Linked DNA regions of Nothobranchius furzeri. The main gene of each other region encodes a partner of the protein of the gene in region 2 in a complex. Links are inferred from orthologs where the notes say so. Each region holds a gene or a part of one and is shown on either strand. Other genes may lie near its edges.

Region 1 (4,144 bases), on a different chromosome or scaffold from region 2:
GGAGCTTTTTCCCGGCCATCAAATTACAATTGTCGGTGCTGTTGCATTAGCGCACAGGAGACAAAGCACCCCCACACTTATGATAAACAGTTTATGTCCGCCTTCTGAAAGAAAAACTGATGATCCCTGCAGCCAGCTGGATATGAAACATGTTTCAGTAGAACCTTCCTAAGTGACTGAAACGTGTTTAATCCCCCCCCCCCCCCCCCCAGTCTGTAAATACAGAATCTTTGTCTGCTCTATTTGCCACTTGAATCACGTCACAGCTTTATAACATGACAAACACTTAAAGCAGAGTCGCGTTCTCTGACTCCAGCTCCTGATGGGCTGCTCCAGATGTAATGCAGTCCTGATGCCACAAGTTCTCTGCCAGGCAGTTCAGGATGGGCGCTACATCACACAGCCCAGTGCCGGCCTCTCCACCGCCCGTACACAGCACCGGTAACCTCCACGTCTCCTCAAACTTCCCGACGTCCCTCTCTGCCACGTCACAGTGCATGAAAAGGTCAAATCTAAGGGAAGCATTAAGGAACAAAAAACCAAGTAACCTTAAAGGTTTGGTTTTGTCTCTTAGATGCAAAATACTGATTTTCAAATGTCTAGACATTTTAAATGCAAAGGATACTTGGTGCCAATCACCACTTTGACAACACGACCAAAAGATGGCTCATTCCATTTAGAGATCTGACTTGATAAATCATCAAAGGATGTCCTGTCGGTGAAGGAAAAAAGGAACAGGACCGCGTCCACCTGCTCCTTACAAGACTGCAAAAAAGGGGGGAAATGTTAGTGTAATTTTAGAATGCTGAACTGGGTCACGACTAGTGCGGCAGCCAAGTGGAGATTAAAATTTCCTTTTATGAGGTTGGAGTTTGATATTCACAACTTTACATATAGTTTAGGATATGACATGCTGTCATGTCATACACATTATCTTGTACTGATCCAATAAAAATGAGCCATGTCAAGTGGGCAGATTTTGGTTATGAAAACTAAAGTATGGGAAGACTTCATGGGTCATGGTGTTGTACCATTTTTCTAAGATCAAGTTATATAAACCAAGTTAAACCTACTGAATCAGTCATTTTTGCAGTGTACCAGTGGGATTATGACCCCTACAAAAACAGGGATGGAGGTCAGCTAGACAAGAAAGGGGCTTTCTATGGAACTATACAAAAACAGCAACAGTGTTTATAACTTCACTTACTGGAAGCAGATGATCAAATCTGCGTAAGGCGTTCTCTCCACAGTCCCAAAACTGCAGACGGAAAAAAAGCACCCTGCCGTTTTCTCTCAGCTTCACTGGCCAATACACCACCGTCGTCTCGATACCTTGAACACACAAAACATCAGATAACTGATTCCATTAAAATTACCTCAGCTGGTGGTTGAACCTACCTGTGGTTTCATGGTGCACGTTAGGAATGCTCAGGCCAGCGAGACGTGCAGCAAACGCAGTTTTTCCAACTCCACTCTTACCGGAAATGAAGATCTTATAAGGAAATGTGTCCACAGCTACGTGTGGAGCCATCACCGGAGACTCCAGCAGACCTGTACAACATTTTTAATGATTTATCTTATTTTCTTTTCCCTCTAATATATCTCACAGTTTCATATAATTTAACCAGAAAGCTTCATACTAAGCAAACAATTAGACAATGATCAACTCCTTTTAGCCTGTTGTGTTTTGAGAAATCAGATCAGAGAAATAGTTAAATAAAAATGCAGATTTGTTCCTTTTCTTTAAGATGAAAATGCTTTTCATTTTGATTAAATGACAAACACACCAACTTTCTAGATCTGTTTACTTTTTGTGTTTGAATTGATAATCTACCTTAAACACATAATCCAACCATGATTTCATTTTGACTAAATATGCTTTTTTCTTTAAAGTAAAAATTTACGTTTAACAATTTTTTATAGGTCTGACGACCTGCTTTTCATACAAATTTAATTTATCATGGGAACATTTTAAAGAAATCTGAGGTATAATCAATTGCTCCCAAATGTCATTCTGAATCTTTAAGGCGTCTAATATTTATATTGTTTTAATCTGGAAGAGGGTAAGTCAAATTTGGGGAAAAAAATCAGCAATTAGGAGAAAAAAATAGAAAAATAAATGACTAATGATTGATAGTAATAACTGACACTTATATTTGAAACCACCATGCCTGGATCTCTGCTGCATGATATCATTTCATGTACAAATCACCTTGCTTTGGTTTATAAACCCACGTTGTGTGAGAAAATAAACAATTCATTTTTTCAACTTTCCATTTCCTGACAATCCAAACTAAAACTATTATGCAGGTATCTGTCAGAACTGCATCATGTTGCATTAAACATTTATTTACTCTGTTTTTATTATTTACAAACCAAATTTTAGCTTTCAGCCACAATAAATAGCGTCGCGTTTTTTAAAGAAACTAAAAGGAAAGTTAGATAGGCATTACCAAAGTTCTTTCGTTTCGTCTTGTGTAGAATTTTGTTGAAATATTCTTTGCTTTCTTTACATCGGTGCCAATCAGAGACAATAACCGATCCTGGTTGGGGAACTTGTGCCATGATGCTAACATCAAACATGCTAACATCACAAAACTTTATAAACAAAGCAGCCAGCGGCTCGTTGAAGTTAAGAAAACTGTCTATACTGTCTTCTAAAGCTAAATATAATGAACATTCGCGTCACAATGAAAAGTAAGTCAACAAAAACCGCAGTGTTTTGCTAAAACAAGTAGCAATTAAGCTATTTTTCCGTAAACTAAAAACCGTGCCTTGACAACTAGTACGTCACTTCCGCCACTTTTCAAAGGTTGTATTCACAGGCTGTCGAAATCGCCATGACTAAATATAAATCGTACCACCCTCGTGTACTTTTTGGAACAAATTTAAAAAACTTACATCAGAAATTCTATTACTAAAACATTTACAAAGTATGTAAAAATATGAATTCACTGTAACCGACATTTTTTATATTTTCAAAAAAGTTAACAGCAAAATCTTGTCAAATTTTCTAAAAATGTTTAATTAGATTTCTTTATTTAAGCACATTTGGAAAGGGTACATTTAATTCTCAAATTTTATCCAGCACAATAATAAAAGTAGATCAATTTAATTATTGCTTGCGGTTTTTGACATTTTTAAGTACAGTTAGTGTTTTAGCTGAGAATTTCGAGTTTTTCGTAAATGTTCCATGAACGTTGCATCCAGAAGTTCATTTATCCACCGCTTGAGGCCGACAAAGTCCACTGCTTTTCTCCAAACTCTGAGGTCACATCTGTAGACAGAGCAACAATGAATTAGAGAAAATGCATACTTCGTGTAAAAGTCAGTGAAAAGCGGCGATAAGTTACCTTTTGAGCTTTCACAATCAGAACCCCACTGCTGCTCATGGACGTGCTCACAGAGAAGGGGTCCACATTTGATGGCAGTTTGCATTTGTGTGAAAGTGCTTTGGTGACTGTGCCACCTTCACCCACCTGCATTCAAAACATCAGTATAAATGTTCTTGAATAACTGTTACTGTACAGATAAAGAGGGGAAACAATAGAAAACATATTTCATATAAATATGTCATGTTTTTTATATCTCCATAATATGTGTCATGACAATTTCTGCAATTCATGATTCACCTTATCAGCCTGGACCTCTAGTAGATTATTAGAGGTTATGACAATAACTTCCTCTGGAGAAAATTCACTCACATCCAAAGTGAACTGGAAGATGTCACCAATGACCTGTATCTTTCCTGTCGGGGATGAGTGACCTGAAACAGTTAATGATAGTATAAAATATTAAATTTTGCTGTTTGTAACCAGGTAAAATATTTAATGCATCACTATTTAAAACAAGAAAACAACTTTTTCCCCAGTTTTTATTGGGCTGACCTGTAAACTTGTGTTCTTCGGTCCCAGGCAGAGGTGAACATCCTGAATCTTCAGAGCAATTCCTTTGACCCTCCTCCATGCAGACTAAGGTCAGCATTTCTCTGTCTTTAATCACCAAAAACCTTCCTCCCCTGTGTCACAACCGTCCGCATATGAGTCTTTATCAGACCACTTGGAGACTGTGTGGGTGTTTGTGTGTGTGTGTAATTTGGTCTCTAAGATACGCTGGAATATGACACACATTATAGATATTTAAT
Region 2 (3,284 bases):
ACAAAACCAGTTTTTAACAGACAAGCTTTTATTCTTGTGAGTAATGTACATGTTCCAAATATAACAAGTATGTGGTGAGAAATTGTGCTTAAAAATGAGGGACTGTGCAAGTATCTGCTTGTTCGAGAGTTTATGGGGATTTTGGGAGTCTCATAATTACAAATCAAAATATTTTTCAGACCACCTAATTTGGAGAAAATGTAAGAGGGGATAATGTTTCAATCTGGAGACAACAGATTACCTGTTCTACGAATGTGACGCTGTCTTACAGTTGTGAAAATCTCCACGAGTCAATGTCCTCCATTTTTAGTAATGTTGCCTTTTGGTCCTCTCAGAATATTCAATTTGGTGTAAGTTTATGAAATAAAAATACAGAATTGTTGGTTAACAATCTTATTATATACACAAAATATGATATACATACATTATGCTAAGTCTGCCCCCTCATGGGTTGCTCTTAAAAAGGATTTCTCCTTATTGCAAAAATCTTTGAAACTGTTGGAAAGCCCCTTTGCTGCTAGACTGCATACCTTCTTGATCAGCTTAATTTTTCTTAAATTTATTGAATCACTTTTGCATAAGAAAATAGATCCTCTTTGAGATTGGTTTAGATTTACTTTTTCTTCTATTTTGTTCCCCTTCTGTTCCTTTTATTACTTTTTGTATAATTGATTAATATAGCTGACACACTAAGGTCCTCTTTTATTTAATTTTTTTATAACTTGTAACCGAATTGATTAAAGCTGTTTTATTTTTTATAGGAAACCTTCCTTTTCCAAACAAAGTCCAGTAGCATTCTTTCAATATTTTTAAGAGCGTTATCCACGTGTCATCCAGCATCATCTTGCCAAGTTTGACTCTCGCGAGATGTGAACCAATGGGTGTCAGATCCATGAGAGTAGAGCGGCGCATCCGGGAGTTCCGGGGACTGAACCCAGGTCTGTCTCCGCGTCCTGCTCTCTCAGCGGTTCAAGCAAAGCTCGTAACTAGTAACTGAAGCTCGACCAGCCAAATGAGCCCACATTCAGCGGTGTGCGAAGGATGAATCATGGGACAGCGTTACTGTGGAAACGACGGTAACCTCTTTTGTTAACCTAGCATGGTTAAAACAGCTAGAAAGAAACAGCTAGTTGAAAAAGCGGCGGCTGGTGGTTAGTGCGTTTATTTAATTTAGGATAAATATATTTTTTTCTGCCTGGTATTTCGCCTAGTTGGTGGTTCAGTGATTATATGACGCTAACGGCTAACGGTGTAGCTGATGCAACGTTGGGAGTTTTTACCTCCCGGTTCGTCGTTACACAATTGGCTCAATCAAAGCTCATTAATCTGATCCTGCGGTTTTCTGAGCGGGGAGAACAACACGCTCGAACATGATGATGCTCCAGGACGGTTCGACCCAGCTCATCTGCCTCACCGCCAGCAGCGGGGTTCCTCTTTTCACTAGAGGGGCCTCCAGACAGCTGCCTTTCTCTGTCATCGGCTCCTTGAACGGCGTTCACATGTTCGGGGGAGGACAGGGAGTGGTGTTGTCCAGCTGCGACACGGACGGTGGAGGGAAGGTGGTGTGGAGAGTTTTCCTCGACAGCGTGATGCTCATCGCTGTGAGTGGAGGTGGACCGAGTGGGTCATGCGGCACAGAGGAGGAGACCCGCCTGCAGCGCCTCCTAGAAAACGTTTGGAGCTGCATGGTGCTGGTGTTGGGGCAGGATGAGCTGACTAATGTCAGGAATGTAGAAAGACTGAAGAGGGATTTGAGGTCCTGCTTCAGCCTGATTGATCAGCTGCTTGAAGAGAAACAAGGTTATCTTGGAAACCTTACACACTGTGCTGATTCATTACTACCTTCAAGCTCCATTCTTCTCCAAGAGGCGGTGGATGGGTTTGCTCAGGCTGCTGACAGTGAGTTTGGTTGCCTGGTGGTCCACGGGCGGATTGCTACAGCGACTGAAGAGTGGTGGCGGCAGCTGGTGCCACAGGAAATCGTGCTGCTTTCTGCTCTGATTCGTACCTTATCTGCATCTGGATCAGCCTCATGTGATTACCCAGTTTTTCTCCCTCAGTTTAGCCCCACCGTCGCCCACCGCTTGCTCCGCTTCCAGCTACTCCCAGGAGCAGACGTGTGTGTGCTGTGTGGTTCCACGCCATCCCTTCACAAAGCTGGAACTGAGCTGGTGGGTCGTTTCTGGTCACCCCTGGTAGAAACCCTGAGAAATTGCCTGGCTCTTGGAGACCGCTGCTTACCCGGATCCATATCGCTGAGGCCTGACGTACTGGCTCTTCTGCTCATCAACCGTGAAACTCGTCGTTCAGTCTCATGTTTGCAGAATTCATCCCATCACCCCCCTATACTCTCCAAAGCTCGCTGCTGGGAGCTGCTGAAACTCTTCTATACATTCAGCATTTCACGCTACTTCACCCAGGAGGAGAGGACTCAGAGAGACATCACAGAAGACTTTCTCCTTGGATTCTCCCACCAGCCCCAACAGTGTTATTTAGTTACAGAAGAATGCAAATGCTATGCATTGCAGACACCACAGCACCAGCTCTATCTTCTCGTGATGCCATCTGTGCCCACCTTTGCACTGGGCACATTGGCTACACAGACTCTCTCTGATATTGTTGCACCCACAGGTTTTTAATACATATCCATTGCAACTTTTCAATCTCATGTTGGTCACTTGAAATGTGAATTTATGTTATAGTCTTACAAAAATAATCACACAAAAAGGGGATCCAATAGAAAAAAATGCTATTTTTCCTCTGAGTATATAGAAACTCAATTATTAACTTTTTCTAAAATATTTTTTACGTAGCTGCTTACAGTTGTAGAGCAGACATTAGAACAAATGCTTTTTTTTTTAGAATTAAGATTGTTGCACATTTGTGTTGAGCCTCTAAGCTGCTTCTGTTGTATGAATAAAAGCTGGTCACACTTGCCTGCAAATTAATAATGTGTCACACTAGATAAAAAAATTAATTAATGTTTTTTATTCTTTTTTGTTTAAGTAATCTCTTTTCTTTATAACATTATTATTATGATCTTGTTATTATATAATTGTCTTGCTACATGTTTCTTCATAAGCATGCATGAAACAAATGAGTCCATCATGCATCAGGAAGACATGACGAAAGTTTCAGCATGCCGTTTGACTCCTACATGCGTGAGAATGAGGAAACAGTTTAGCAGAAGCCATGCAACATTTTTCTCAGCTGCATTATTTAAAAAAGCTGTTCACAATTTAAAGTTATGGACCAAATATTTATAAATTCAACACATTTATGCA

What was found. The genes of interacting proteins can lie anywhere in the genome.
Region 1: the proteins of fuz (region 2) and cplane2 are in contact, whole or in part, in a cryo-EM structure (PDB 7Q3E), measured with the Mus musculus proteins. The link is inferred for Nothobranchius furzeri from reciprocal best matches to the Homo sapiens genes FUZ and CPLANE2. Residues at the interface, in NP_081652.2 of Mus musculus: Arg26, Arg35, Ile109, Val110, Lys126, Glu127, Arg129, Ala130, Tyr132, Cys133, Asp136, Gln215, Ala216, Ala217, Arg218, Asp219, Tyr220, Pro221, Tyr223, Pro232, Leu238, Thr239, Leu240, Leu241, Arg242, Pro255, Leu256, Gly257, Gln258, Pro261; in NP_001074643.1 of Mus musculus: Glu36, Gly38, Leu39, Leu40, Glu41, Arg42, Val83, His84, His85, Glu86, Thr88, Gly89, Ile90, Gln91, Thr92, Thr93, Val94, Lys124, Phe125, Met128, Glu134.

Annotation. Positions count from the first base shown.
Region 1 is NC_091743.1:65,229,379-65,233,522, reverse strand, and holds cplane2 (ciliogenesis and planar polarity effector 2), read right to left. Parts: upstream 2,801-4,144; 5' UTR 2,584-2,800; coding exon 2,454-2,583; intron 1,552-2,453; coding exon 1,399-1,551; intron 1,333-1,398; coding exon 1,208-1,332; intron 766-1,207; coding exon 626-765; intron 513-625; coding exon 287-512; 3' UTR 199-286; downstream 1-198. Other genes in the region: heat shock protein beta-7, read right to left, coding at 3,272-3,277, 3,354-3,479, 3,633-3,766, 3,888-3,984. UniProt on the Homo sapiens protein: Required for efficient primary cilia initiation, regulating a late step in cilia initiation. Plays a role in the final maturation of the mother centriole and ciliary vesicle that allows extension of the ciliary axoneme.
Region 2 is NC_091751.1:48,625,616-48,628,899, forward strand, and holds fuz (protein fuzzy homolog), read left to right. Parts: upstream 1-1,223; 5' UTR 1,224-1,370; coding exon 1,371-2,639; 3' UTR 2,640-2,784; downstream 2,785-3,284. UniProt on the Homo sapiens protein: Probable planar cell polarity effector involved in cilium biogenesis. May regulate protein and membrane transport to the cilium.